4 linked regions of the Caenorhabditis elegans genome follow. The protein of the gene in region 2 interacts with the protein of the main gene of each other region in a pairwise test. Each region holds a gene or a part of one and is shown on either strand. Other genes may lie near its edges. The genes, in order: dpff-1, cpr-5, mmad-1 and hprt-1.

The links.
Region 1: the proteins of cpr-5 (region 2) and dpff-1 interact in a two-hybrid assay, tested with the Caenorhabditis elegans proteins (one large-scale study listed by BioGRID).
Region 3: the proteins of cpr-5 (region 2) and mmad-1 interact in a two-hybrid assay, tested with the Caenorhabditis elegans proteins (one large-scale study listed by BioGRID).
Region 4: the proteins of cpr-5 (region 2) and hprt-1 interact in a two-hybrid assay, tested with the Caenorhabditis elegans proteins (one large-scale study listed by BioGRID).

What each region holds. Positions count from the first base shown.
Region 1 is NC_003281.10:5,901,406-5,909,431, forward strand, and holds dpff-1 (Zinc finger protein dpff-1), read right to left. Parts: upstream 4,718-8,026; 5' UTR 4,711-4,717; coding exon 4,628-4,710; intron 4,502-4,627; coding exon 4,248-4,501; intron 4,210-4,247; coding exon of another isoform or gene 4,198-4,209; coding exon 3,992-4,197; intron 3,943-3,991; coding exon 3,840-3,942; intron 3,048-3,839; coding exon 2,958-3,047; intron 2,911-2,957; coding exon 2,678-2,910; intron 2,627-2,677; coding exon 2,477-2,626; 3' UTR 2,158-2,476; downstream 1-2,157. Other genes in the region: ER lumen protein-retaining receptor erd-2.2, read left to right, coding at 5,653-5,844, 5,889-6,131, 6,579-6,785; putative helicase C28H8.3, read left to right, coding at 7,356-7,386, 7,433-8,026. UniProt on the Caenorhabditis elegans protein: Probable transcription factor, involved in meiosis and stress protection.
Region 2 is NC_003283.11:1,130,972-1,137,604, forward strand, and holds cpr-5 (Cathepsin B-like cysteine proteinase 5), read right to left. Parts: upstream 3,066-6,633; 5' UTR 2,984-3,065; coding exon 2,526-2,983; intron 2,340-2,525; coding exon 2,098-2,339; intron 2,050-2,097; coding exon 1,715-2,049; 3' UTR 1,627-1,714; downstream 1-1,626. Other genes in the region: W07B8.4 (Peptidase C1A papain C-terminal domain-containing protein), read right to left, coding at 498-928; cpr-8 (Peptidase C1A papain C-terminal domain-containing protein), read left to right, coding at 3,655-3,718, 3,764-4,003, 4,058-4,193, 5,421-5,662, 5,716-5,961.
Region 3 is NC_003281.10:13,544,355-13,551,682, forward strand, and holds mmad-1 (Methylmalonic aciduria and homocystinuria type D homolog, mitochondrial), read right to left. Parts: upstream 4,652-7,328; 5' UTR 4,651-4,651; coding exon 4,585-4,650; intron 4,418-4,584; coding exon 4,369-4,417; intron 4,317-4,368; coding exon 4,243-4,316; intron 4,082-4,242; coding exon 3,862-4,081; intron 3,561-3,861; coding exon 3,130-3,560; intron 2,804-3,129; coding exon 2,792-2,803; 3' UTR 2,535-2,791; downstream 1-2,534. Other genes in the region: Y76A2B.4 (uncharacterized protein), read right to left, coding at 1,138-1,361, 1,952-2,075, 2,293-2,403; scav-2 (SCAVenger receptor (CD36 family) related), read right to left, coding at 6,871-6,999, 7,094-7,292.
Region 4 is NC_003279.8:14,653,937-14,663,545, reverse strand, and holds hprt-1 (Hypoxanthine phosphoribosyltransferase), read right to left. Parts: upstream 6,192-9,609; 5' UTR 6,151-6,191; coding exon 6,112-6,150; intron 4,648-6,111; coding exon 4,542-4,647; intron 2,798-4,541; coding exon 2,298-2,797; 3' UTR 2,051-2,297; downstream 1-2,050. Other genes in the region: Y105E8B.6 (BZIP domain-containing protein), read right to left, coding at 711-857, 940-1,008; riok-2 (Serine/threonine-protein kinase RIO2), read right to left, coding at 6,476-6,568, 9,132-9,609.

The sequences.
Region 1 (8,026 bases), on a different chromosome or scaffold from region 2:
CAAAAACATTTTTCAAAACCAAATAAGCGAAAAGGGCAGCAAAAGGGTGCGAGAAAAGAAAGTGTTATGTTTTTGTTCTCACTAATTGACAGAAGAATAAACATTTTTAAACACAAATGGATGGAACAACGAGGAAAAGAATAATGATGTTGGATGATTGTAGAAAGTTGTTACGGTGTGGAAGAAAACGGGATTTTACAATGAAAATTTGGAAATTTAAATTTACATGCGTTCAGTTGCGTGGTCGTGAAAAATAAAAACTTCGGCCAAAAAAAAATGAAGGAAAATCAGAAGTACAATGAACTCGGCCACCAATATTTTTGGCGGTCAGAGATCTGCCGGTTTGTCAGACAGTGAGCATCACACGAAACGTGGGCAAAAACGCATAAAAATTGATGTTCTTTTTTCCTCTTCTCCCATCTCTCCCACATTCTCTTGTCCATTCAAATTTGTTCGTCTGTCCGGTTACTTGTTCATATTTGGATAGCCCTCAACCGAATCATAACTTGTTATGTTCACCCAGAGGAATTTTTGTTGTCAGCGGAAAGGGTATGTAAAAATATATATTATATATTTATTCATGAAGTTTTTTGTTGTAAAGTCAAGGATTTTTAAATTTGTTTTTAAGTTCATGGCCGCTTAAAAAATAAAACTCGGCCACTGCCTCGAAAAAGTATAATGGTGAATTATCACAAAAATTAATTATGGCAGAATATTTCAGATTAAACTTCACGGGTTTCAAAATTATTTGGAAAACTAGGCCATCTGTTTTTTTTCTCGGTCACTTTGCAATATCTTTGCAATACTTTGCAATAAAATAAGCGGTAAAGCTTTTGCCAAATAATGATTTTAACGAAATTTTCGCAATTTTTAATAGTGTTGGATCTTGGGAAACTGTGCGGTTTTTATTTCAAGACAATGACCGAGTTTTCTCCTTTCGAGGCCACATAACAAAAACCGAAGTTTTTGAACATTCAAAATACAACAAAACAAAGAAAAGTCAACACTTGAAAAGGTGAGAAATTTTTAGAAGAACAAAACGAAAAAAAGGGAAGAAATAGGCACTCGAACGGAAAACGGCGGTTTTCCAAAAACGATCACTTTTTGGAAAAAGTGAGGAGGAGGTGAAGAAGCCAATGTTTATTTTTGAGTGATTTGGATTTGAATTATTTATTATTTCAAAACTTATAAAATTAAAAAAAAATGCTGATCATTATTTTTTGTTGCAAAAATGTACACGAGTATAGTTTAAAAGTAGTCTCTTTCAAAAGTACACGAGACGGAAGTGGAAGTGTGTCTGAGCTTCTTGGCTTCAAAGAGTTATCCGAGATCCCCGGCGGCAAATTGAATCAGCTCCAAATTTGGAGGGATAGGAGGAGAACTGCAAGAGAAAATAGAGATGCAAAAACAAACAAAAATGTTTTTTTTTATTTCTAAGAAAGAACACAATTGTGTAATCGATATGTGTTGTTTCAAGTAAAAGACAAAAAAGAATGGAGAGTAGAAGGGACATAAAATTGGGCGATGAATAAGTAAAATAAATGGGTGAAAGATATTGGAAGAGAGAAGAATAGAGAAAGTTATAAAATAATGTTATGGTATTTATATGGTAGTAGGTCAGATAAGATGATAAAATGATAATAAAATGAATACAAACAGTTAATTCTCTTTTTATGAAACAACCAAAGTAAATTAAACATTCTAAAACGATAATTTTAGATTTTTTAAAACTAGATATATTACCCAGATACGAAAGTTTGCAATTTTCACTTAAAAATACAGTACCAGGTCTCGACAAGACCAAATATAATCTCCACGCCCCATGGTTTTGCAATTTTATTTGTTGTAATTTTTACTCTAAAAACCTATTGGATGTGACAATATTTATCTAAAATTAAACAATTATATATATTTTTAACTAGCTTAAATGAAAGAAAACTGCAAAACAGTGGGCCGTGAAGGTTACTGTACTTCTTAAAGGTGCCTATCTCTTTTCATTTGGATATATTCGATCGTTGTAAGACCTTGTATCGTACTCCAAGATGTTAATAAAAAAAATTGTCAATTAAACTGGAAAATAGTAATTTGAATTAGAATTTTCAATGTTCCGTTTGATTCTTTGAAACTTCCAATATTGTTCGAGTTTCTTCACATGTGTTTTATTTTGAATCATAGTATTTATTGAACTTTTTTATGATAAGACTGAAATAAATAAAAAGGACGAGGAAAATGTGGAAGTACAAAAAAGAAAAGAGCGAGAAATCAAAGTAGCAGAAGGAGGGGTGAGTGAGGTTTTAGGCTGGCTTTTTAGAACAAGAATTTTTCTCTATGTATGAGCCATTACGTAGTAATAATAATACTTAAAGTTCAAGTGAAAATGAAGAATAAATAATCGGATGACGGTGTGGGAGGATCGTAAGCAAACGGGTCGAGATTATGCAAAAAATATTGGAATAAATATAATATTTGAGAACCATTACTTCTTGGCCGGTGCACTCGCTTTGTCTCCGAATTCAACTTGACATAACCGACATGAATACTCATCATCTGGAGCTTTTTCGAGCGCCGGAGTCAGACAATAAAGATGGTATCCACGATCACAGTCGTCACAGAAGAGCAATTTATCCTGAAATCCAATTAATATTGCACTTTATAAATATAATAGAAAATATCTTACATCATTTTCACTTGTACCACAAATGGTGCAACTCTTGCACTCAAGACACTGCCATCCGCTTCTTTTTATGATTTTGGTCACATTTTGATTAAAATTAAGACAGGAAGGATGACCAGAACGACCACAATCATGACAACTAACGAGATCCTCTGGCAATTTTGTATTTTTGTTCATAAAAGCAGTGCCGCTGCAGAAATCACAGCTAGTAGATATTTCTATACTGGGAGACAATACTGAAAAATAATACATTTGAAAATAGCTTGGAATGCAAAAAACTTACACTTAACCAGTGGTTGACTAGACTTTTGATCATGAAGATACGACTGATGATAGCTTAAACCCGCGAGGCTTTTGTATTTCGCGCTGCATTCTGAAAATTATCAAAAATTTTAAATTACAAACGAAAGGACTTGGGAAATATGCGGTTTGAAAAGAGTATTTTCAAATCACAGATTTCCCATTATGCCACATCATATAAGCTTCCAGGAACACTCAGTACATGCTAAATTTAGTGCCTATATTTCTACAAACTTCCTCTCGATAGACCCCGTGTCCCGGGTGGGAGAGATGTATTTTTGATCAGTTGAGCGGTTGCCGCAGGATTTTTTACTGAGGTCCCTCTCGCCCAGGTTTCTTTTACAGAGGGATAAAATACTAGGAGGGATATAAGAATGGGATATTCAGGATACATATTGGCTTATGACTTAGTGCAAATTGATAACGAGAGGAAGGAAGCTAATACATTTGATAAGATCCACAATTATGTGAAGAAGTACTACAAATCACACCACTAATTATGAAACTAATATTAAAAAAAGATCATACATAATCTTCCAAAATTTATTTTTTAGACCAAATTTCCCATTTTTTTGATTTAATTTTCCTTGGATCTCTGGAGAAACATGCATAATTAAAAAAAAAACTAAAGCATGCAAAAACATAAATAATCTCGTGCAATTTCCAAGCATCCTAATTTTTTGAAAAATCTCGAAACCGAATGAATCAAGATACGAAAAATTAAACTAAAAATCATGATGATAGTGTTCCCGGTAACTGACATGCTGTGGGCGATGGGGGAGGCAAATAAGACTAAAAAGGACAAGAAGAATGGTGTGTTCTCCTGGGCGAGAGGGCTTCGCTAATCCGCCGTACAACCACTCACTGTCACATGGATACGTCTTCTCCTCCGGTTCTTCATATTTTGTTTCCTTCACTATGGAACGAGATGGGGTCAATCGAGAGACAGAGGAACGAGTTGTTGGTACCTAAACAGTCAGAATAAAATTATTTAAACAATTGAATAAATAAAGAAACCTTTTTACGTGACGAAGTTGCTTTCTGAACAGGCCCCAAGTTGCCTTTACGGCGTTTACGCGACGACCAATCATCTTCATCGGAGCCAAACTCGTCTGGAGAGAGCTCATCGTCAAGAACGTAGTCATCACGATATTCCTCTTTGATCTGTGTTTGGCGGGATGGTCTGATGGTAGTTGAGTCGTTCGAACTATCAGAAACACTTTCTGCAAATCGAACTACAAAAATTAGGTTGAATCGTTCTGATGCTTCTCACCAGTTGTTGGTCCGACAACTTGTGGAGTGAGATGATCAATTGCAACCTGAATAGACGGATTCTCACGCAAAAACATGCTCATCTCAACAGCATCAGATGGTGGCTGTGACTTGCTCTTCTTCCATCTCTCGGTTGCGAATTGAACAACAGTATTTGGATCATTTGATGGATACATGTGATCCACGTTGCGGGTTGTGAAGCGAGACTCTCGCTGGGCCGTAGCCGTTTGATGTTCATAGTATGGGAACCGCAGTCTGCAACTTTTAGGGGCTTAGTACAACCAAAAAATAATTCCTAAATGCTCTAAAGATTTATCATTACTTAGATTATTCAGATTTCAAATGGATCTTTTTTAAGTAGCCGAAACATCAATAACTAACCGTTTTTTACGATCCTCCATTTGCCGGGAATTCCATTTAATGCAGTTCCGCATCAGGTCCATATATCCGTTTTCCGAGATCATTGTCTGTAAGATTAGCTGTCTTGGATTATTTTTAAACATTTTGATAGCTCAAGAAATCGGGCGCCCGGTGTGAACAAACAAAAAAAACAAGAGAATGAATGAACACTGATCGATAAATTGGACAGCTGCCGATGTACGCAAACACCAACACGCGAAATTGCGTATTGTCCAGCGTGGACTCGTTGGCTGATGGACCTTTTGGCTCGAGTTTTCTTCTTCGTTTCCGGCCTAAAACGTTTCGTTTTTCAATTAAACAGTTTAAATTTTTTGCGATAATTGATTAATATGTAGCTACGCATTATGTGAATACCAAAAAATGGTTGAAAAGTTCATGTAGGCCTACAATTTTAGAAAATCTAGGTCTTTCGAAAACAAAAAAAAAACATTCGGTATTCAGAACGTTCGAACAAAATGCTCTATTCAAACATTCTAGTTTTCATAGAATATTTCCATGCATTTTACCTAGCGAATCGAAATGTTTGTTTTTTTGTTGAATGCAGGGTTATGTGTTTTTTAACTGTAAATACACGTAGTTTTTGCATTCAATGTTTAAAAATTTTGTCTTTATGTTTTAAGTTCCATTTTTTAGTTTTTTTCAGTAAACCTTTTTAGCTTCGTTGCGTTGTATTTGCATTTTTCAAAATTCCCACGTGGCACATTCAGTGCTGGCTTTTATTGCACTCTTTTTTGTCTGCGAAAGGAAAACTCTAAACCATTTCTGTTCGTTCTCCGGAACTTTACCGTCCATATAATATAATTTTCTCTGTTCCCTATCACTCTATCCGTTATCTTTTGATAAACAACGTTGACCTCGATAATTGAAAACATACCCATTCACTGGAATGAATAGGTGTTTTCCAATTCATTTCATATTTGCGTTTTCTTTTCTTTACCTGATGTATGTATCTAAATTCTCAAAGTATGATAATTTTTAGGGTCATCATGAACATCTTCCGTATATCGGCAGATATGTCGCACTTGCTTGCGATTATCATCCTTCTGCTCAAAATCTGGAAGAGCAGATCGTGCTCCGGAATCTCTGCGCGGTCGCAGATTCTGTTCGCTCTCGTGTTCACTGCTCGATACTTGGATCTTTTCTCCACATACATTTCTTTGTATAACACTACAATGAAGGTAACTTTCTGTCCGTAACAATTATAAATACAATCAAATTTCAGATCACCTTCCTCGCCGCTACGTACGCCACAGTGTATCTGATGTTCTTCAAATTCCGCTCAACTTACATGCGCGAGTCGGATACCTTCCGTGTCGAGCTTCTCATCGTCCCAGCTGCGATCCTCGCTCTTCTCATCAATCACGATTTCGCTCCATTTGAGTTGCTCTGGACTTTTTCGATCTATTTGGAGGCTGTGGCCATTCTTCCACAACTCTTCCTTCTCCAGTCTACCGGTTCCGCTGAGGTAAATCTGGAAAATAATAAATAATACAATAAATGCGCCAAATTTGACTTCAGCGTGCAAAATTTTCCCTCTCAATTCGACATGCCGTAAAAAAGTGTAAAATCCAGAGATGGCAAAATTGGAGATAGTACAAGAAAATTGTTGTGCTTAGAAATTGTCGTTTCTCCCGATTCCAACCGTTTTCCCCGTATTCCGAATTTCGCGCACATCTCCGCTGTAGTCCAAATTGATTCGTCAGCCTTTTAACTTTGCTAATATAACAACCTGATGAAATTTGACTGAAAGTTAATCCATTCTTTTCATAAGTTTTACTGTGTTGTTTGCAAACACTCGACATCTTTTTTTCTTAATTTCTTTTGGATTAGACATTTTGGTGTAGAGACGCAGACACCAGGCCACAAATTGAGCCTTCTATCTCTCTCCCATATTCATCGTTTCTTCTTCCAGGTCATCACTGCTCACTACTTGTTCGCTCTTGGCTCCTACCGCGCTCTCTACATTTTCAACTGGATTTACCGCTACTACACCGAGGACTATTTCGATCCAATTGTCGTTGTTGCCGGAATTGTACAAACTGTTCTCTACGCCGATTTCTTCTATCTTTACGTCACCCGTGTCGTCCAAACCCGTAAGGGTATGGAGCTCCCAATCTAAACGAACGATTCCCATCCTTTTTGACGTTTTTTCCTACGAGGTTATATTAATCTTTACGGAGTTGGCGTTATAATTCACACTAAGTCTGGTCACTTTTACTTTTCTTCTTTTTGATTGTTGGGAAATAATAAGAATGTGTGCCCGCCAAACTCCGTTAATTTATTTCTCTGTGTGATGATTTTTATGGGGGATTTCCAAAGATATCCATTTATTCAGCTTTTTAAAATAGAGATTTAATGTATAAATAATGAATTTTTCTGGATTTTTTTTGATGGAGTTGATGAGTTTTCTTCGTTCGGTTCGCTTACCGTGCTGCATATTGTTTTAAAAAAAGTTATTGATCGGTTCGTGATACGAAAATAGTTTGCAACGATTTGTCTCTTCCGTGCGAGACCTTAATCCCTAATCCAATTGCTCATCTTAAAATTATGTCTTAGACTTGAAAGAAACGAGCTAAACTTCCTTTTCTTTCCTCTAGTTGATGATTGATTTTAAAATATTGATTTCAGGAATAAGTCAGCTTACTATTCTTTGGAAAGGGTTCATCAATTCGATATAAATTCGAGAACGATGTCTGCAAATGCTGCTTGGGATGATAGCGGTTTGTTTTCTTACCTTCCAAGCTTCAACTTTTAAAAATCTTACAGACAGCGAAAATGAGAACGTGGTGGTCGAAGAGAAGCCAGTGATTCTTCCACGAGCCCGTCAACCATCAATAGCTAAGAGCCTTGAAAAAGTGCAAATTCTGGAGAACAGTGTTGCTGGTTCGGAGAAAAACGCTTCTGATGACGATTCAGATGCCAGTTCCGTGATGTCGGATGACTTGGAAAGTCTCGGAGAAACGACGGAAGTTCTCAATTTCTCTCTGGAACAACTCTCGATGATGAAGAAGAATCTCGCCCAATTTCCATGCAGTTACAAAAATATTATCAGCGAATTCGCTGACGTTGAAATTTTCTTAATCTCAATTGACTCGTTGATTGTTGAATGTGCTGCTCACAGTTATCACAACTGGGATGTAGCCGGTCAATCTATGGTTCTCAACAAACAAATCGATCGTTTCCTACAACAATTTGTCGATATTGGAGGACGATTCAAGCTTGTTGTCTTTTCTGATCTGACTACTCAATTTGCAAAGGACACAACTCTCTCATTTGCCCGATCTACTGCTCTTGCACATTTGGCAAATGGTCCACACGCTCGAGATTTGTTGTTCTTCACAAATCCAACTGATCCAGAAT
Region 2 (6,633 bases):
AAATTCAAAGGCACAAAAAAATTTTTTTTTTTCGGGCAGACTAGGGCTCCCATGAAGTCGCCGACGCCGGCTTAACGGCGTCAACCACGCCCCATGTATCCGATTGTATTCTGCAGTGCGAAACCCCGAACGTGTCGGCCGCTTCCAAATAACTACCTTTTCGCGCTATGTTGCGCACACACCAAGCTACCCGTTTCACGTCAAGCTGCGAAACCCCGAACGTGTCGGCCGTTTCCAAATTATTACTTGTCACACCACTTTGCGCACACACCAAGCTACTTATTTCACGCCAAGCTGCGGAACCCGAACGTGTCGGCCGCTTCCAAATAATCACCTATCGCATTTCATTGCACACAAACAACGTCGGTGTGAGGCCGGCCGGTAAGTGGCCTGTGTGAGGCCCGCATTTCGCGCCTCAGCTGGGAGCCCTACGTCAGACTATTTCACAATCATTCACATCAATACTAAATTTTTCGCTACCTTATCAACTTACTCACCCATCGCCGCAGTTAAATTTTCCCGTGCAACACGTGAGTATGTCCTCAGCAGAAAGCAAAGTATTCACATCTCCGTTAGACGCGATACATGTTCTGTCAGAAATAGCCTCAGCTGCAGCGACGGCCCAACAAGATCCACAATGAGATTGATCTCGAATGTTGTTCACTGAAATGCATTGAGGCCAGTGATCACGTACATCATAGCTGTCTGGAATCGAGTCTGCGGTTTCAGCCAACTTGATATCTTTGTCCAAATGTGCAGCCACATGCTCAACTTTCATCAGGTTTTTCACCTCGAATGGAGTAGTATAGTGCTCAGCGGTCCACAGTTTTTGAGCAGAGTTTATATGATTGATAAATAGTTTATTTCTCGGAAGTACTACAGCAGAAGCAGCAAGTATAAATAGCAGAGACGGAAGTAGTTTCAGCATCTTTCGAAAAATAATGAAAATAAGTTGTGGTGAGGTCTTAAATGAAGTTTTGTTATCAGTTGAGTTGAGGGAAATTGTTTGTTCCGTCCATTCTACACTGAGTCAGAGTTTATTAGTATCCTGTTATATGTTTTAGGTCAAATTGATTTTTTGAACAATTTAATTTCATAGATTTGATTTAAACCGCCTATAACTATAAATGTTTGGAAGTGAATCAGAGCGAATTTCACAAATAATTTCTCGAATAAAGAGCACAGGCTAACTGAAAATCGGCCCAATGACCATTCCGGGCTGTTCTTTTTGTTCGCCAGTTAGCCGTCTGTAGTTTCGATAAGAGGCAGGCGCGGGTTCAAAGTCTGATGGCCTGCCTGACACCTGATCACCGAAAGCGGGCCTCCTCGCTTCAATTCTACAGGCATGAAATCAAAGATTTGGGGTCTACGCAACGCTCACTTTTTGGGTTCAGAGCCATATTATACAAAAGGCGCGGCGCGTGGCAGGCGGAGGTAGCCGCAAGGTGTCCGCAACATGGCAGCCTGCACGGGTTCCCTAGTCCGCGGTTTGTCTGCTGCCGTCAGGCCGGTTTTGAGCAAATCCGCTCCGTCTCCCACCCTTCTCGTAAAAGTTCGACCGGCCAATTTTTTTCAGCCAATTACAGAGATACTGAAAAACGAGGTTATACTTTAAATAATATCATAGCAAATTATAAAATATTTATCATCATTTCATAATATACACATGGAAATCTCCCTGAAGAATTATTTTAAAAAAGTTCCGATAGCAGCCTTAGTTGTGACGAGCCAAGTCTGGAATTCCGGCAACAGCCGAGTGCTCGATTCCACACTCGTTGAGTCCACGAATGATACGGAAGTATCCCTTCTCTCCCCAGGCGACGTTCCACGAGTTGGCGACAAGCCAGTATGGGGTTCCGTTGTCGACTCCCCATCCGAGGATCTTGACGGCGTGTCCTCCGAGGGAGGCTCCGGCGGTGTGTACGTACACTCCAGTGGTGTATTGGTAGAAGTCCTCGTAGACGGTGAAGGCAACCTCGATTGGTCCGTTCGTAAGAATCTCGGTCTGGATTTGCTCGACCTTCTTTCCGACGGCGTAGGCGGTAGATCCTAGAACTTCATAGTGTTAACCAGCGCCGCTTACACGTGTAAACTCACCAAAGTGCTTATCCTGAAGATATGGGGTGGCGTAGTTGTTCTTGGAAGTGCAGGAGTCGACACACTTTGGAGTTGGCTCGGTGTCTTCTGGGCATGCTGGCCACTTGACGCCGTTCACAGTCTCGCCGCATGGAGCGATCGAGTATGGCTTGCATCCGAACTGGGTCTCGTAGGATCCTCCGGTGACGAGACCGTGCTTGACCCACCACTTCCATGCCTGGATTGGGTAACCTCCTTCGCAACTGGAAAAAAATGGTTTTGAAAGCAACTGTGAGTCCATGCCGATCACTGTGTTCTTATCAGCAAGAACTTTCGATTTTGGAGATTAAAACTACGGCGCTAGAGATCATTTTGTCATAAACGGAATTTGTCGATTCTTATCGTTTTTGTGTAGACGCGTAGTTTTCAAATCAGAATCGGAGCCTTACCCATTTCCGCAGCTGAACATTCCGGTGCAGCACGAGAGCAGATCTTCAGATGAGAGCAAAGTGTTAACGGCTCCATTGGAGGCAATGCATGTTCTGTCGGAGATAGCTTCAGCAGCGGCGAACGCCCAGCAGGAACCGCAGTCAGATTGATCTCTAATGTTATTGATGGACATGCAGTTTGGCCATTGATCACGAGCATCGAAGTGGTCTGGAATAGCGTCGGAGACCTCAGTAGCGACAATATCCTCATCCTTGTGTGGCACCAAATACTTAACATCCATCAGCTTCTTGGTGATCTTCTCCTTTGGAATGACTTGATGTCCAGCGGTCCAAAGCTTTTGGGCAGAGTTGACATAGTCGATCAAAGCTTGTCCAGTGAGAGCTGGGGCTTCACGGTGTCCAGGAATCACCACAGCCGAGGCAGCAGCCACGAGAAGAATAGCGGAGAGCTTCCACATTATGAGAGAAGTGTCTGCGAAGGTTCGCGTCTAATGCTCATTAAGTAGTCGGTACGCATCATTCTTATCAGTTAATTTTATCAGTATCTTTTTTAAGAATTAAAAATTAAAAGGAATGTGACGTAAATGAGTCGCGCGCCAAATATACTTTCACTTGTCGGAATAGATCATTGATGTAAACATTTTTTAATACTGTAAAAATTCTAAGGGGATTAGGAATTAGGGATGAGCCTAATACCTAAGCTTAATGCCTAAGCCTAAGCCTGAGCCTAAGCATAAGCATAAGCATAAGCATAAGCAAAAGCATAAGCATAAGCATAAGCGTAAACCAAAGCGTACGCCTAAGCCTAACTCTAAGCCTAAGCCTACGCCTAAGCCTATGCCTAAGCCTAAGCCTAAGCATAAACCTAAGCCGAAGCACAAGCCTAAGCCTAAGAATAAGCTTAAAAGTAGGCATAAGCCTAGTCCAGAATTATTAAAGCAGATTTTATGAAAATCCATGAATTTTAGTAGAGCTGCATAAAATTTACTTTGAAGCAATTTTGTTAATCATTGTTCACCGAATAAGCTCCGCTTGCATTTCTTTTTGGATAATATGATGTAAATTTTCTGAACTTTGCAACTTCAAATCAATGATAAGAAAGCATTGAATCAATCATTTCTAACCCGAAATGCGGAAAATATTGATTTGCCTGATCGGAGTCCTATTTCAAGCCGATGGAGTACCACCTTCAGGTTTTTTTACAAATTGTATTTCTAGATTGAAAGCAATATTTTCAGAAATTGACCGGATAATTCATTATGTGAATTCGCAAAAAACTACTTGGACTGCTGGGATTCCTGCTCTGAGCCGGAATTCTATGCTGAAAACTCTTGTCACAGACGCTGCAACTATAGGATTCAAAATCCAGAATTTCGGGGTGTCACAAGCAAATTCCGATCTATCTCCTTCATTTGATGCGAGAGAACGTTGGCCGGAGTGCATGTCAATTCCACAGATCAACGATATTTCAGAATGTAGTGAGTTTTGCTTTAAATTCCAGAATATGAACGGTAATGGCCTAAATTTTTCAGAGACAAGTTGGGCGTTCGCAGCAGCCGAATCAATGTCTGACAGGCTTTGCATTAATTCCGGAGGATTTAAAAATACCATTTTATCCGCTGAAGAACTTTTGAGTTGTTGCACGGGAATGTTTTCCTGTGGGGAAGGGTGAGGTGTAGTTGCACGTCTCTACAGGTCCAGTGATCCTGTCAAAATTTAGAAGCGGATGGCAGGCAGGCAGGCAAACCTGGAGGCGTGTCTGCCTACCAACAAAAGTTTGCGAAGAAAAGTCTCTATCTTATCAACTTTCAAAATTTTTAAAGCTCGTAAATTTTTCAACATTGAGAAATGTATATTTAATCAATTTTCTTGCGGCGCGTGATGCAAATTTGAGAAAAAAGTGCAACAACTGCAAAATTGTTTGATTAAACGCAGACGTGCTTTTTATTAAAGGTGGAGTAGCGCCAGTGGGGAAAATGTTAAAAACTATTTATATGGTGCCAAAATGACCGAATATCATAATAAAACGTTTCGAAAAATTTTTGAACTTTTTTTATTTACTGTCAGAAAGTGACAATTACTCAGTTTTTGCCACTCATAATTTTGGAAGTCGACCAAAAAAAAAATGTTTTTCCTACATTTTTTATACTTTAATTTTGTTTTAATTATTTATATTATAACATTGTAGGGGTCGAAATATGCGACAATGCTTTGGATTTCCTTAAAAACTCATATTTTTCAAAATTGTGGGAATTTGCCAAAACTTTGGCCGGAAATTATTAGGTCACCAAACCATCTGTAAACTATTTTTACACATAAAAATTATTTGAGTTTGAAATTTGAATCTCAAGAAATATTCAAACAACTCAAAAATTATCCGAAAAAGATCTAGAATTTTCGACAAAAATTTTTTTGAAGATTTTTTGACGACCAACCAAAAAAAATTTTTTTGGACGGATTTTTTTTCCAAACGTAGTTTTCTAATAATGTATTCTAAACAAAGCAAAATCCGCACACAAACCTCAATTCAAAGCTGAAAAGAAGCGAGATCAGAAAAATGCCTGAAAAAATTGGCTCCGAGTTAGGACTGGGGTGGTCAAAAAATTTTGTGACTGTTTTCAAATGAAAGATCATGGTCAATAACTCAAATTATCAAAGTTTCATAAAAATCGCTACTCAGCGAACAAAGTTATGATTTTTGATCCGGAACTTATTTGGTGACCTAATATTAACAATCAGAAATTTTTTTGGAGTGTTTTATTATGATATTTGGTCGTTTTGGATCATTATAAATGTATTTAGATAAAATCCCCATTTTATATGTTTAAAAAATTATCAGATCAGGAGAATGCCTACTGTTCAGCATAATAATGCAAAAAGATCCCACTGTTTCAGGTGTGAAGGCGGGAACCCATTCAAAGCTTGGCAGTATATTCAGAAACACGGTATTCCTACCGGAGGATCCTATGAATCGCAGTTTGGATGTAAACCTTACTCTATACCTCCATGCGGAAAAACTGTTGGCAATGTGACCTACCCAGCGTGTACAAATACTACATCACCTACTCCGAGTTGTGAGAAAAAGTGTACTTCACGAATCGGATACCCAATTGATATTGATAAAGATCGGCATTATGGTATCATCGAGATAATATTTTTGTTAAAGCTTTTGAGAAATTGTGTATTGCAGGAGTTTCTGTGGATCAACTTCCAAATAGTCAAATAGAAATTCAAAGTGACGTCATGCTAAATGGGCCGATCCAGGCAACTTTTGAGGTTTACGACGATTTTCTTCAATATACGACGGGAATTTATGTGCATTTGACTGGCAACAAACAGGGTCACTTGTCAGTTAGAATTATTGGCTGGGGAGTTTGGCAAGGTGTTCCTTATTGGCTATGCGCAAACTCTTGGGGAAGGCAGTGGGGAGAGAATGGTAAGTACTGTTCGATAACTGTATGCAATCGTTTCCATCTTAAAGAAGGAGTATCTTCAATGTGGAAATTGTTTTAAAATGTAGTATTTGTACTCAAACTTCCAGTTATTGCAAAAGAAAAACGGAAAAAATCCGTTGACATTCAGCATTTAGCCGTTGAAATCGACGAAAGTGGCTGAAAGTAGCTGAATTTGAATTTCGCGCGCATATGAATCCTAAGTAGGGGTGGCGATAGGTCGCAACAGGTCGACCTGGCTATTTCACAGCAGCTTCACCAACAATCCAATCATAATTTTGAATATAAAAATTAAATTAGCATGGCTCCCTTACTCGAATTTTCTTTCAAGGTCGACACTTTATTCATTGAGGTCGCAAGTAGAGGTGGCGATAGTTCGCAACAGGTCGGCCTATCGCCACCCCTAATCCTAAGCCATATTCGTTCTCCAAAATTTTGATTTAAATGTAATTAATTCGAACTTTAATTTGTTTTTCGTTTTCAAAAAGTTTAAGAAAATTGAGACAAAGGAATTGTATAAAATACTTATTAGGTCTCCAAATAAGTTCCGGGTCAAAAATCATAACTTCTTTCGCCTTTTATCGATTTTTTTGAAACTGTGGGAATTTATGTTATCAACTATGATCTTTCATTTTGATATGGTCACAAAAATTTTT
Region 3 (7,328 bases), on a different chromosome or scaffold from region 2:
GCTTTTTTTTAAAAGAAAAATTTAAATTAAAAATTTTTGCCAAATCCTAAAGTCTGCAAAACCAGCTTTTCGAGAATTTGTACATCTTTGAAAGTAGTGCCAAAGTACACTAAAAATGTTTTCCTCGAAATTTAAGCACACCAGAACGACATGTACCGTTTTGAAAGTCTCTCTTTGAAAAGAGATCAAGCTGGAAAACCCAGATGTACACTACAACTAGGATGACTACAGTTAACAAATAGATACGTGCTGAAAATAACATGGTACTAATACTACTAATTGAGGGACATAAAGAACAAAGAAAATGATTGAGAATCTCTACAGATGGAAGGAGGGAAGAAGAGATGTGTTAGAGACAGTAAATGACACGGGAATCATTGACAAGATAACAAAAACTCTCTCGTGTCTCTGCGTCTCCATACCTCCAATACACTATTTCCCTTATCAATGCCTACTGGGTGGACGATATACAGGGCCAACTAGCACTGCTAATTACGATTGGACAGAGACAGAAGACAAAAAGTGTATTATGTTTCTTTTTACTGAAATGGTCGGGTTTAAAGTTCGTCAATACCCGGCTGCAATGGGGCGACTTTGACTGGAATAGAGTTTGGTCAAAGTGGTGGAAGTTGTAAGAGATTTGGTTAATTGTAAATGTGCGTGGTGTCAGAGTGTCTCATTACGTAGATCTACAAAAATGCGGGAGAAGAGACGCAGAACTCTCAACTGATTTCGTATGGTTAAAAACGTGCTGACGTCACATTTTTTTGGCAAAAAATTCCCGCATTTTTTGTAGATCACTCCGTAATGGCCTGAAACCACGTGTGAATGCTGAACCTTTTTAAAACCTGCCAGGAGAGTTCAGATTTCATTTTGAATATTTTTTTAAAGGATTTTTACACTAGATGACAATAAACAGCCTTCTACATACCGAATACGATCGTAAAAAATGTATTCAATTTTATTTCATTTTATCAAGTTATCAACAAATCATTAATATAACTAAATTATGGTACAAGAGTATATAAATAAAGGAATGTATAATCTGAAACCGGTAGCTATAAGGGGAAAGTACAACGTACAACGTGGAAAACCTATTCGGAGTTCTATTGAAACAACAATAAATACATATAGGTATTAACAAGTCTTCAATTTCTCTTCAACTTCAAATTTCGGAGCATAAATTGGCGGAGGTGAATGGATTCTGGGATATGAGGTATTTGGGGAAGAGTGAGGTGACTGGGATAATCTAAGGTATATCGATTGAGTGAGCTGAAGGATATAGGCGGTGGCGATGGCACTTGTGATACAGACGGCAAGTGTTGGGATCAGAATGAGCAGAATCAGCAGTGTGGAGATGGCTGGAAATGTTTCGATGGAATAAGCTTCACGGGGTGTCGATTTACGCGGCTGGTGTACTCCTCCAGAAGTGTGTACATTATTTTTGTCAAACAAAATTATAATTTTTCGCCAAATTTTTTGATAATTTAAATTTTGAATTTATGTCAAAAACTTTCTGGCAACCAAATTGTTAACTTGAGTTTGCTACTAAATTTTTTTGAATATTTAAAATTTGAATCCCGTCGAAAAGTTTCCAAAGTTAAATTTTGAATTTCTAGTAAGCATTTTTTGACATTCAAAAATCGCCGATGTATTTATCTAAAAGGTGGAGTACCGAAATCTGGGAAATATTTTTTAAAGAACTCCAAATTTGCCCCTGATGCCGAATATCCATGTAAAAAAATTTAAAACAAATTTCCATTTTTTTCAGCTTGAAATTCGCGAATTTCATTTGCGTTCCTATTACTTTTTCAAATGCGCGCCCAAAGAAATTCTCATTGGAGCGCGCTTGTATCGTGTCGATTTACGAGAGCTCTCTATTTATTTGAATACATGACCGTTTGTTCAAGGTTTTTCTTCCATTTTCCAATCTGTAAATCAAAATTCTCACTTTGTGCAATAAAAGCGACTCCAAAATTGAGAATCGCGGTGGCGAGGAAGATGGCGATGGAGAATGAGATGGGCAGAACACAGAAGATTAACACAATTTGGGTGGTGAATGTAGGTAGGGTTTTCTGAAAAAGTGGTTTTTTTAGGAAGTGTTTTTAAAATTGCATTTTAAAAATGTATTTTTTCTTGAAAAGCACTTATTTTTCTACAAACTTTTTTACTATGTAGGGTATTCAAAGTTTTTTGTAAAATTAGAAGCGATCACGAAAAAAACCTGTGACCGAGTTTTTCTCAAAACACGGCCACGAAATTATTTTAAGCAAAAAAAAATTCTGCACAAACCATAATCCGTTTCCAGTAAAACCCCATCGTCTCGAAAATCCGTGTCTCTGGGGGTTCTGATCGCTGCGACGTGTAGACGTCCGCCTCGTCCTCCTCACTGATGATCGTCATCTGGTATGTTTTTTTTTGCTAGAAAATTCAAATTTCCAGCTTAAACCAATTTCTTTAAAAGTTCAAAAAAGAAGAAAACTTTAAAAAATACCGTCAGATCAGTAACTTGAAAAGGTGACAACAAGTGAATTGTGGATTCTAACAAACATTTATTTTTTTCTAAAAAACAACCATTAAATTATTTACAATTTCGAGACAGTGCTTGCTTGCAAATTTCATTCATTTGAAAACCGCAAATTTTTAGTCTAAATTAAAAATTTTACAGACAAAAAAAAATTAGAAAATACGTGGAGCGAGGGACAACGGGTGCAAAATGGAAGGAGAATCGACTCATATTTATGGCATATTGTGGGCGGGGCTTCTACTGGAAAATTGCTCGATGGAATCTCTATTCGTCAATCTAAAAAAATTAACTTTTTTATTTAAGGAAGTCGAAAATTTATTCAATAAAATATCTCTTTGGTTTTTGAAAGAGCGACCTTTTTTAAGACTTTGTTTTATTTTTTGTGAAGTCGAAAATCGTACAAAAATTACAAAATGTAAGGAAATTCTGAAATTTTGTAGAATCCCAGAAATAAAAACATAATTTTCGTCCTTTTTTTGGAAATCTGAAAAATGATTATCATTATTAGATAGCAGGAAGAACATCAAAATAAATTTTTTCAAACATAATTTTACGTTTTTTTTTTTCAAAAATTCGGTTTCAGAAATTCCAACATCCTGTACCTCCTGAGTAACCTTCTTCAAAATATCCCTGACGGCATCCCCATCAACAGGAGCATCAGTGAAAATAGTTCCCACAAATGCGTTGGATCCCCAGCATGCGTGTTGCAGAACTTTGCAGCATCCGAGGTCTTCAATCTTGAAGCCCATTTGTTTGTAGGCGTCATTGGTCTCGAAAAGTGTATGATTGGTGTAATCACCCATATACGGGCGGCCGGAAGATGGATCAATGAAATCAGCCCAATAGCCGAAACGATGGAGAGTTGAGCAAATCGCGTTGGCGGACATGATGAATGAGGCGGTGAGCTTTTCACGTTCCTCTTCCATTGCTTCACTCCATGCTTTCATGTCGAATTCTGACTTTTGAGTTAGATTGAACACGGTCACGTTGTTCATCTTTTGAGTCTCCATTTGTGGGAATAGGTATTTCATTTCTGGAAAAAAAAATGATTTTTGAATTTATGAGTTTTAAATTCAAAATAAATTTTAAATTCACTTTTTGAGCTTCACAAATATTGCGATTTGCCGAGTATGACGACCACGGTAAATTTTTTAAAAAGTCGATTTACCAAATTTACCGCACACCCCTGCTAAATATAGTTCTGCAAAGCATTTTTTTTTTCAATTTTTCACTAATATTAACTCGAACGTAATCTCAATTTCCGATTTTTTGAAAGACTAATTTTTTAAAAGTTCATTTTCAGAATTTCTATAAATCCCAGCTTTCCAGCTCACCTTTTTTGAGCAACTTTGGTGCTTCAATAGCGGAAAGTTCAATCTCAACGTCAGCCGCATTTGCCTGAATCTCTTCCATTGCTTCTTCCTTCAATTGAGCCAAATGTGTACGGTCAACTTCGATATTTGTATTGGAGAGCAAATTGATCAAATTGTGCTCCGTATCGTCCATCACACGCTCGATTTTTGAGTTTTCCACTTGTTGGCGGATGCTCAATGGCTGCAAATTTTGAGTTTTTGAAAAAATTTAAAATTAAATTGGAATTATTTTAAATGGGTAAATTTTCGAAAATTCAAATTTTTTACATGAAATTTGATTTTGGAGTAAAAAATCAGATAATTTTGGGTGTCTGTTTGGAAAATCAATTTTCAGAAATTTACCTTGTGAGCAAACGAGACGTCTCCCTGGAACGGGTACTGACTGTCATTTGGGCCGAGAAGCGAGTTTTGGCGAGCTGAAATGTGGAAAAATTGTGAAAATGTCGATCGAAATTTTGAATTTCTTACGAGTTGTGCCCTTTCCGACGAACACGATTGGAATTGGGTCGATTTGGAGCTGAAAATTTGAATTTTATGATTTTCAGCACATAAGCAGCTAAAACGCTTACTTTTTTTCAAAAGAAAAATTGAATTATTCGGTAAATCAAAAAGAAATTAATTTTTCTGAAACAAAAGATTTTTCGATAAAATCTGCAATTTTTCAGCCATTATCCAAACTCTCACCTGCGTTGAAAATGCGGCAACACGTTGGGTAAACGCACGCATTTGGGGACCTTTGGCGGACAACATCCTGCAACAAAACTTGTATTTTAATTTAAAATTTTACTTTTAATTCGAAAGAAATCAATAAGGCAAGAAAAAACGAAGAAAATATTGAAAGACATGTTTGTTGGAAATTGAGTGACAGCTAGAGGGAGAATTACGCAGACGGTTAGAGAACACTGAAATTGGGGAGACCGCCGAGAAAACGAGAAAAGGGAAACCGAAGAACGAGCGCGACGAATCATGTGAACTTTATTATTATTATTATTACTGAGAACACTAGTAATTACTGATCAAATTAGTTGTTATCTAAATTCCTAATTTTTTGTTTCTATTTTTCAACCTTGTGACATATTGATTATATCATCAAAAAGGCGTGTACTTTTAAGAAGTACAGTAATCTTAAAGTGTTTCTTTTTTTTCTTTGACCTAAATTGTTAATTTATTGTGTTTGAGTATTAAACACATAATTCTAAGATTGCGTACTGTGCAACATATTCAACGAGTAAAACATCTCGTTGCAAAAACTACAGTAATTCTTCAAATGACTACTGTAGCGATTGTGTCGATATACGGCCTCGATTTAAAAAACATTTATTTATCGATAGAACATTAAAACTAAGCAAAAAAAGAGATAATAATACGAAAAAACAAAGTAACTCCCACTATTCGCAAATAATTTTTTTTTTCACTATTTGAGCCCGTAAATCGACACTACAGTAGTAATTTAAAGAATTACTATAGTGTTCGAGAATTACTATCTCGTAAGATATTTTGCGCGTTAAATATGTTAGTTAATACGCATTCTCCGAATTTTTCACAAAATAAAAAAGGTTTAAATACATAAAAAACCGAGACAAGAACAACGATTCTTAGAATTCTTCCAAAAGTTCGAAAACTCGAGAAATTTAAAAATTCAAAAAGAAAATAAAATTTAAAAATAATCTTTGAAAAGATTTAAAGCCAAAAAGTTAAAAAAAATCCAAAAATCCAAATTTACTATCATTAAAAAGCCTGAAATAATCTGAAAGTCTTCGAAGTCTTGTTCAAAGCCAACTTTTTTGTTTTGATTTAAAATCTGTTGGGTGAACGTGAGAAGTGCAACAATTCAAGAAAAGAGAGCGAAAAGACAACAAGTGTAACGATGAAAGAAGGGTCACAGTTGTTGCACGTGAAAAAGAATTGTCTAGAGGCGAATAGAAAGTTTTCGGATTTTCAAAGTCCACTTCGGAGTTTTTTTCAGTGGACTTTCGTGATGTTGGAACCCAAGAATGCAATTTTAGGTTCTCGATATTTTTTGAAAATTTTCTAAAAAAGAATAAACACTTTTAGAATTGCAAAAAAGAAATATCGATTTTCGAGCTTTTTTTTCAAAATTTTGAGTTTTCGAACGGTTTTTCTTTAATAAAATTATTTATCGCATATTTTTGAAGTTTTTGAAACCTTCCAGTTAGTAATCGGAAATAAAATTTTCTCTAAATTGTCTCAAAAAGCCAAATTTGAATGGTAGCCAAGAAGTGGGAGGAGCTGGCACTCGGACTTTTTTTTTCAGAAATTAATTATTAAAAATCGAGTTATAAAATTTAGCAAAATATCTGAAACAAGGGGTTTTGGACCACATTTAAAAAAATAATTTTTAAAGTTATAAACAAGATCGCTTCATTTTATGGTGCAAGACAACTATGTATAGAAATTCTATAAAAATCTGGAAATTTTCAAATTTTCAGTAGGAAAATAAAATGGAGTATATATATATATATATTTACATGTCAAATGGTACAAGAATATCTCGGAATAATTTTAGGGGGATTTTGGGGACCCGTGTGCATAATAAATTGAACAAATCAAAGTGAGGAGCTGGTGGGGAAAAACGGGGATTCGGGGGAAATGGTGTGAGTGATGAAAATGGGAAGAAAAACAAGTAAAGCTATATTCACAAAATTAACAGAGACTGAAAATATTATTTTTAGAGGGAAAAGTTGAAAATTTGAGAAAAAAACCGATGAAGGTTTGAAAATTGGATTTTTTTCAAAATTCGAAAAGTTTTTTCCAAATAAACCAGTTCTTTAATCTATTTGTATAAATTTTTTTAAAGAAAAATTTTAAAATCGAATTTTTTAGGGAAATCAAAAAATATATATAACTCTCTACTTTTTTAATTTGTTAAAACTGCAAAAATTTTCAAAATCAACTCAAATTATCGATTTTTCTGCAATTTTCAAAAATTCAAGGATCTAATTAGCTATATCACATGTAGGCATGATTATGGTGGTATCCGTTGGGTTCTCCCTTCGGAACATACGGAGGAAGAGGTTCCGGTGACAATCCATTTGCCCGTTTTGACCGCCGTCCGAGAATCGGGTCACAGAGTCCGAGCTGCAAAAAAATGTGTTTTTTGTTAAAATTTCCGATATAAAACAATATCGTTGCGAGACCCTAAAATATATTTTGAAATTATAAAAAAAAGTACCGAAAACGAGAGAAATAGGAATCCGAGAAGCAGCATAATTGCTCCAATGATCATCATAACATCACACGATGTATAGGCAATTGACTCAGTTTCGTAGAGTTGTGATCGTATCTGTTCCAGTGAATCATCGTCGATTTCAGATGTCTCGTGAAGTATCAGCACAGGAATCAACGCGGATTTCATCTTTTTCAAGTTTACTCTGAAAGAATTTGCGTATCAGTGGGGTGCGGCAAAT
Region 4 (9,609 bases), on a different chromosome or scaffold from region 2:
AAATCTAATAAAACGTCACAAAAAACCAAAAACAAGCGCAGAAACATCATATATAAATACATCGAACAAAAATCCATCGCCGGCAGGGGGAGAGAGAGAGAGATTCTCGAATCGGATAGGGAACAGAAACAGTCCGAATATATTCGGGAAGACCGAGAGAGAGAGACGGAGACATTTCTGTGCGAAACAACAAGGCCGTTTCTCCGGTATTTCCGACAAGCCGCTCGGCGGGGGAGGAGCTTTTCCGTCATAAAATGCCGGAAACCGGAATATTGAGCAAGGCGAAAATAAAACAGAAATAAATAAATCAAACCTCAATGTTTTTTTCTTTTTTTTTCGATTATATCAGAAAATCAATCACAACAACCGCTGAAACGCTGAATATATTAAATTAAATTTTTTTAAAACCTTTTTTTTATTTTTAATTTTTTCGATTACAAAACACTTCAAACTCCTAAAATTCAGTTCAAAAAATCAAAAAAAAAGTACAGAACATACACAGAGCCGTCGCCAAGGTAGTCGCAATGCAAACATGCTCCACGGAGAAAGTAACAATACGTTGCGTTATTGCACAAAGCGACGCGAATTGATATCAAATAATGGAAAAAAGGGGGTGAAAAAATTTGATTTTTTTATGAATAGGTGGTGAGAGAGATCGAATTGAATTAAAATTAAAAATTAAAAATTAAAAATTTTTTTTTAAAAATCGATTATTCTGGCGGTGCTCCAGTTCCAGTTCCGGCTCCGGCGGCAGCGTCACGCACACGAATTTTCTCCTTGATCTTATCATTTTCCTGCAGGAGGTGCCACTTTTGCTGTTGCAATTTGGTACGTGTCTCGTTCAGAACTCGTTCTTCCTGAAAAAAAAACCAAATTTTTTTAAAATTTAATTTTTTTGAATTGGTGGCCGAAATTTTAACGGCGGCCACGAAAACTTACATGTTTCAGAGCATTTAGCTGCTCTTCGATGAACTTTTTGCGCGAGTGCTCCTCGTTTCTCTTTTCCATTTTTTTTTGGTTCTGAAAAAAACATTTTGTATTGATTTTCTCTTAGATTTCACAAAATATGACCTATTTCTTAAAATTTTTTGGATGAAAAATTAATTTTTTTCCAAAATTTTTTAATACAGATATATTCTATTTATTGCGGGAACACAAAACTCTGAGAATACGTATAGCACAACATATTTGACGCGCAAAATATCTCGTAGCGAAAACTACAGTAACCCTTTAAATGACTACTGTAGAGCGTTTGTGTCGATTTACGGGCTCATTCGGTTCTTCGCATTATTTGGTCATTTTTAGCTGAATTTCAATACTTTATCGATAAATAAATTAATTGAATCCATTTAAGCCCGTAAATCGACACAGTAGTCATTTAAAGAATTACTGTAGTTTTCGCTACGAGATATTTTGCGCATTTAAAGAATTACTGTAGTTTTCGCTACGAGATATTTTGCGCATTTAAAGAATTACTGTAGTTTTCGCTACGAGATATTTTGCGCGTCAAATATGTTGTGCAATACGCATTCTCACAATTTCGTGTTCATGAAATAGTTTTGCTAGGTGGCCGAGAAGTGAAAAACTCGGCCACATGTTTTTTTTCGAATATCGAGAAAGTTCGGCCATCGTTTTTTTTAAAATCAAACAATTTAGATTTTTCGTTTAAAAAAATTAATTTCAAGCTATATTTTTATTTTCCTCGAAATTTTTTTTCTAAATTCTAATTTCTCGTGGATTTTGAATTTTTTCGATTAAAAAACTGAAAAAAAATTAAAATTATCAGAATGTGTAAAAAAATTTTTTAAAGCTATACTGGCAAAACGCGGTATTTTGAAAAAAGATTTTTTAAAAAAATTTCAAAAAAAAAAAAAAGCAAATGAAATTTCTCGACCATCGATTTTTTTTAATCGGAAAAATTTTGATTTTTCCCAAAAAAAATTAATTAAAAGCAATTTTTCTTGCAATTTTTCTCTCTATGGAATTTTAAAAAATCTACGGTTTCTCGTGGTTTTTGCATTTTTTTTTCGATTAAAAAATTGTGAAAAAATTTGGTCATTTCAAATATTTTGTAGGACAAAACCTTGACGGTCATAATACACCGAAAATTAGAAAAAAAAACTACAATTTTGAAGCAATACATGTATATTTTTAAAATAATGTATATTTGTTTTAAAAAAATTAATAACGAATTTAAAGCAGATCACAGTGTAATTAGGAATAGCAGAGCAAAAAAAAAACAATTAGACATTCAAAAATTTCAATTTTTTTTTTCAAAAAAATTGTAAAAATCCAAATTATTCCGATTTATATTTCTCAATTCCAGCAGGGCTCATGACACAAATATGTCCGAGATCTCGGAATTTCTGATTATAATCCAATCCGTAGCCAACAATAAATTTGTCAGGAATCTCAAAAGCCACGAAATCCTCTGGAACATCCACGACACGTTTGACACGTTTCGACAGGAGAAGGGCGGTCCAGGTCTTCTCAACGCCCGTCTCATGTAAAGTTGAGAGAAGTTTTGCAAGAGTTCTTCCGGTATCCGAAATATCATCCACAACGAGCACACTTTTCCCCTTGAGCTCATCCAAATTCGATAGTCCCATTATTTGAATTTGTCCAGTACTCATTTGATCCTCGTAACTCTTTACTCGAATAAAATCGACAGTCATTGGTTCAGGACACGATGAGCGAGCATTTGTGAGCTCTTCGACGAGGGCAGTGAAGAATTTATAGGATCCTTTGAGTACGCAGAGCAGCGCGATTGGTTTGTTTCCGATTTCAGCGTGGATGTCTGAGAAAATTATATGATTTCTGATTTTTTACTAAATCACTGCAACTTTTTCCTCACGAGGGACGAGGAAAAGTGGTTTCTAGGCCATGGCCGAGGGGCCGACAAGTTTCAGCGGCCATTTATCTTGCTTTGTTTTCCGCCTGTTTTCTTTTGTTTTTCACAGCTTTTTCCCGTTTTTTCTTATTAAAACTGATAAATAAATATTTTTTGCAGATGCTAAAACAATTTCCAAGTAAAAAAAATCATGTATTCAGTGGGCAAGCAGCGGTGAAAGTGGGCATTGTAATATGATGGATTACGGGAATACAAAACCTAAACTTTTCCCCAAACATGATACATATGCTGCTTAAATGCTGAGACTACCTGATTTCCATAATGAGACGTCTGAAAAAGTATTGAGATTTTCAAAATTCAACTTTTTGTGCGAAAATCTCGACCTTTTCACCAAAAAAGTTGAATTTTGGAAACCTCAAAACTTTTTCAGCGGTCTCGTTATGAAAATCAGGTAGTCTCAGCATTTAAGCATCATATGTATCATGTTTCAGAAAAAGTTTAGGTTTTGTATTTCCGTAATCCATCATTTTACATTGACCACTTTCACCGCTGCTTGCCCACTGAATACATAATTTTTTTACTTGGAATTTGTTTTAGCATCTGCAAAAAGTATTTATTTATCAGTTTTAATAAGAAAAAACGAAAAAAATCGATGAAAAACGAAAGAAAACAGGCGGAAAACAAAGCAAGATAAATGGCCGCTGAAACTTATCGGCCCCTCGGCCATGGCCTAGAAACCACTTTTCCTCGTCCCTCGTGAGGAAAAAGTTACAGTGTAAATCGAAAAACGAAAATTTTCCGGTATTTCTAATTTTTTCAGATTTTTCTAAAATTAGCTTAAAAGTTTGATGACTAGGTTTTTTTTCTTCAATATAAACAAAATTAGAAAAAAAAAAAATAGAATTTTCTGATCAATTTTCCAGCAAATATAAAAATCGAAAATTTTTAGAAGTTTTTTCAAAAAAAAAAAAAAAATTTTGGCAGTTTTTAGAAGAAAAATTTTTAAAGAAATTAAAGAAATAATATTGAAGCAGAAAGTCTTGTTTCTGAAAATAATTGTTTTTATTCGAAACTTTTCCGTCATCGCATTTCTTCAATTTCTTCAAAAAAAAATGTATCAACGAAAAATTGTCCATTTTCGGATTTTCCGTAAAAAAAACTTCTAAAATAGGAAAATTTTTTTAGTTTCCGAAAAATCTGAACAAAAATCGAAAAATCGAAAAAAAAAATTAATCATAAAATTCGATTTTCTAATCTAATTTTGTTTATATTGTTAAAAAACATGAGAAAAATTAAAAATGTCTTCTAAAAAGAACAATTAGAACACAAAATTTCAAGGTAATTTTAGAAAAATCGAAAAATAATTCGAAATTTCGGAAAATCGAAAAAATTCCGTTGACACTTTTTTAGAGGAAAATTTGAAATTTTTCTGTATTTTTTGAAATCCTTCAATCCAAGCTCCCTTATACTTGAAAATGGAAGAGCTGGAATCCTCTTCCACGGCCCTGTGTGTCGATTTACGCAGCCCTCGTGTACTCTTCGAGGAGGAGAAGACGATTTTACAATTGTCACGTAAATCGACACATGGCCGTGGAAGAGGTTTCCATCTCTTCCATTTTCAAATTTGAGGGAGCTAGAAGTCCGTTGTAGGGCTATTAGAGAGAAATTTTTAAATTTTAACTGTTTTTACCTTTAGCCAGACGACGAACACGATCTCTAACAAGACCTTCCGGAATCACGACACCGGATAAATCACCGTCATAGCAGATTGGAATGTCGAATGCGTCGACTGGGAGCTGCAAAAATTAAATATTAATTTAAAATTTTACAATTTCGCCATAATTTTGCAAGAAACGACGTTTAAAAATAAATGAAATTGCACATTTTTAGCCCAAAAATCAATTAGACTACAAACTACAAATCTTTCTAGCCTCAACCATGTTGAAAATGTTCGAAATTTCACAAAATACTTGAAAAAGTTGAAAATTTTTGACTGAAGATTGCAGATTTTAACTATTTTAGAACAAAAATATGGATAATATTGTTCTTTTTAATTGTTGAAAACTAGTTTTTCTGGGCAAAATTTTGGAAAAAAAAACGTAATTTTTAATGAATTTCTGCTGATATGAGGAGAAACGGTTGCAAAATTGTGAGTTTTTAGCTGAAATGGATAGAAATCGAGAATTTTTTGTTAAAAAAAATGTCAAAAATTAACTGAAAATCACGTTTTCGGTCAATTTTTGGTTCACACTACAAACTACAACTTTTTCTAGCCTCAACTAACTTTGATGAAGCTGAAAACTCTTGTAGTTTGTAGCCTGAGAGCCTCACCAAAAAAACTTAAATTAGCGAAAATTCAAAATTTATGGATATTTAAGCATTTTTCTTGAATTTTTTTTTTGTCTCCAGCTGCTAAATTATAAACTTCCTGCAGTTTTTTTATTTCAGTTAAAATTCAAAAATCTGAATCAAAAAATTGCTGGAAAAGTGAAAAGTTGGTTGAGGCGTCAGATCACAAACTACAATGTTTCCCAGCCTCAACCAACTTTGGTGAGGCTGAACATCATTGTAGTTTGTAGTCTGAGAACCTCACAAAAAACTAAAAAACTGTTTAAATTCAAATTTTATAGAATTTTAAGCCTGTTTCTTGGATTTTTTTTCGTTTCCAGCTGCTAAATGTGAAAATTGCTCTCGAAATCGTGGCAATTTTCATTCGAAATTCAAAAATCTGAATCACAAAAATTGATGGAACCACCGTTTGTTGCGGTGTCACACTACAAACTACAATGTTTCCTAGCCTCAACCAACTTTGGTGAGGCTAAAACTCGTCGTAGTTTGTAGCCTAGGAGCCTCACCAAAAACTAAAAAAAAACCTGTTTAAATTAAAATTTTTTGATTTTTTTTTTGTTTTCAGCTACTAAAGCTTGGAAATTTCATGCACATTTGGCAATTTTCATTCGAAATTTTTTAAAAATCCTGAATCAAAATTGTTTGAAAAAATTTCTGGAAAAGTTGGTTGAGGCGTCAGACCACAAACTACAATGTTTCCTAGCCTCAACCAACTTTGGCGAGGCTAAAACATCGTTGTAGTTTGTAGCCTAGGAGCCTCACCAAAAACTAAAAAAACTGTTTAAATTCAAATTTAATGAAAATTTAAGCACTTTTCTTGAATTTTTTTGTTTCTAGCTGCTAAATGTGGATATTTTTCTCGAAATCGTGAAAATTTTAATTCAAAATTCAAAAATCTGAATCACACAAACCTCAAAATCATCAGGAATGACAGCACGAGTTGGAGCCATTTTCGAAAATGAAGAACTATTTTTCTGAAAAAAAGAAAAGTGTGTGAATGGTTATTTAAAAGAGACAATATTATCTTATCAATCAAAAAAAAAAAGAAGATTGATCAGATTATCTTATCAGTTGAAATAGACGGCGCGACGATGAAAGTTACGAACGTGTCAACGATAAATGTTGCATTTTAATCGAAAAAAAACGCATCATTTCGTTTATATTGAAGGGGAGAAGTTAACAGAACAAAAAACATATAACAATGGTAATAATAACAGGTGAAAAAGAATAGAAAAAACGAATTTTCCGGGAAAAACGAGAACAATTATTAAATCATCAAATCCATCCAGCGTACTCGGCAATCACATCTTTATTGTCTTTTCGGTTACGGCCCACTGCGCTTTGCTTTCCTTTGACCTTCAGTCGAATCTGGAATTTTTGGATAAATTTTAGAAATTTTTGTGGTATATTGATTTATACTGAAGGTTGGAAGGATTTCAGAATTTTTTTAAAAGAGTTTTACGAGTTTGGAAGGAAAATATTAATAAATTACAGTAAAGTAGAAATTAAATACTTTTTTATTAATTTTTGAGATTTTTGTGAATTTTTTTTTTTGTAAAAAAACGTATTTTCCAAAAAATTTAAGGATTTCACAGTAAAAAAAACTAATTTTTAATGTAATGATCAGTCGAAAATTTCAAGAAATTCCAAAAAAAAAAGATAATTGAAAATTTTTGCAAAGTTTCACACAGAAAATTTTAAAAAAACGAATTTCAGACAAAAACTGGCCACGCCCACAAAATGGACGATACCGAAAGAATTCCTATATAATTTTTTGCAATGTTTCAGATACAGAAATTTCGAGAAAAAATATTGTCAGACAAAAACTGACTCCGCCCATAAAATTGTCGGTTTTCTAAAAATTTGAAATTAAATATATGATGACTTATTCCAAATTTTAAGTACGTTTCTATGAACAATATTTCAAAATCAGCAAACTAAATTCTTTTTAAAGCAACATTTTTTTAGAATGACAATGAAACACAAAATTCAAAAAAAAAAGCGAATTTAGGACAAAACCTAGCCATGCCCACCACAAAATGGATGCTCAAACGTGCAATTTTCAAAAAAATATAAAATAATTACTATGATGCCGCGTAAGTGATTATTTTTCAGAATTTTTTCAGAATTCGCTTTAAAAAAAAAGGAATTTTAGACGAAAACTGGCTCCGCCCACAAAATGGTCGGTTTTCTAAAAATTTTAAATTAAATTTTTTTCTATGAACAATATTTCAAAATCAGCAAAACTAAATTTTTTTTAAAGCAACATTTTTTTAGAATGACAATGAAACACAAAATTCAAAAAAAAAAGTGAATTTCGGACAAAAACTGGCCACGTCCACAAAATGGATGCTCAAATGTGCAAAAATTCAAAATTGCACATTTGAGCAAAAGTTTGAACAACTCCGCCCATTCTGAAATTTCGAAAAAAATTTTCACAACAAAAACAGTCTTCGCTTATAAAATGGCACTTTTGGTACAAAAATGACCAGATTTATACCGTTTATACCGTTTATTATTTTTTGAGTTTTTTTGAGAAAAAAAGTTTTTTGTTTTTTTTTAAAGTTTTTAATGAAATTTTTAATCGAAATTTTCAAAAAATTCAAAAAAAATTTGATAATTGAAAATTTTTGCAAAGTTTAACACAAAAAATAAAAATATATATTTTCAGACAAAAACAGGCTCCGCCCATAAAATGGATAAAATTTCCACGATTCTACGTGGCTGAACATTTTTTTGTTGCAATGTTTCAGGTACAAAAATTTCGAGAAAAAAAATTTGAGGCCCCACGAAAAGGGGATCTGCGAAAAGGGGAGCTGGCACTGTGCCAAACGCACAAAACGCTTTTTTATTCTCATTCAACGCACGACTTTTTTTTGTATTTTACGCTAAACAACGCGCGCGATGCGTAATAACGGAGTGTGGTTATAACAAAGTCGTGCGTTGAATGAGAATAAAAAAAGCGTTTTGTGCGTTTGGCACAGTCACTGCAACTTTTTCCTCACGAGGGACGAGGAAAAGTGGTTTCTAGGCCATGGCCGAGGGGCCGACAAGTTTCAGCGGCCATTTATCTTGCTTTGTTTTCCGCCTGTTTTCTTTTGTTTTTCAAAGCTTTTTCCCGTTTTTTCTTATTTAAGCTGATAAATAAATACTTTTTGCAGATGTTAAAACAATTTCCAAGTAAAAAAATTATGTATTCAGTGGGCAAGCAGCGGTGAAAGTGGGCATTGTAATATGATGGATTACGGGAATACAAAACCTAAACTTTTTCTGAAAAATGATACATATGATGCTTAGATGCTGAAATTACCTGACTTTCATAACGAGACCGCTAAAAAAGTTTTGAGGTTTTCAAAATTCAACTTTTTGTGCGAAAATCTCGACTTTTTCACCAAAAAAGTTGAATTTTGAAAACCTCAAAACTTTTTCAGCGGTCTCGTTATGAAAATCAGGTAGTCTCAGCATTTAAGCAGCATATGTATCATGTTTCAGAAAAAGTTTAGGTTTTGTATTCCCGTAATCCATCATATTGCATTGCCCACTTTCACCGCTGCTTGCCCACTGAATACATAATTTTTTTACTTGGAAATTGTTTTAGCATCTGCAAAAAGTATTTATTCATCAGTTTTAATAAGAAAAAACGGGAAAAAGCTTTGAAAAACAAAAGAAAACAGGCGAAAAACAAAGCAAGATAGAAGGCCGCTGAAACTTGTCGGCCCCTCGGCCATGGCCTAGAAACCACTTTTCCTCGTCCCTCGTGAGGAAAAAGTTGCAGTGACAGTGCCAGCTCCCCTTTTCGTATCTCCCCTTTTCACAGATCCCCTTTTTGCAGATCCCTTTTTTGGTCTGCTCCCCTTTTCGTGGGGCCTCAAAAATTTCAGACAAAAACTGGTGCCATTTTTTTTCTCGATTTTCGGTACAAAAATGAGACCTTTTCCTTATTCCTCTTTCTATCCAAAGCCAGTCGCCTCTTAACATCTTCAGCCGTAAACGTGGCAGCACTACTGGCAACACTTCTGGCTCCACTTGGCACTCTCTTCTTTTTCACAACTTTTGCCACCTGCTCCTCAACTGCCACGTGGCCATCCGCGTCCTCTTCCTCCCCCTCCTCCTCATCTTCATCATTTTCATCGTCATTTTCAGAATCGGCTGGACGCTTAAAATCCTCCGGCGGCAACTCAATATCCTTATAACCTTCCTCCGATTTCAGAGCATCAAGATCCACGGCTTCCAGTTGATTTGTGGCGTCTGAGAGCCAATCTGTGAAGCGTGTCGTCTGGGAGAGCACGATTTTCTGCTGTTTGACGGTGTTCTCCTGAGCCTGGAGCTCTTCGTGGTCTTTTTCGAGATCCTCAGGCTCTTCCTGAATGTCTTCCATAGATTTAGAGTCATCGGAATCATCTTCATCT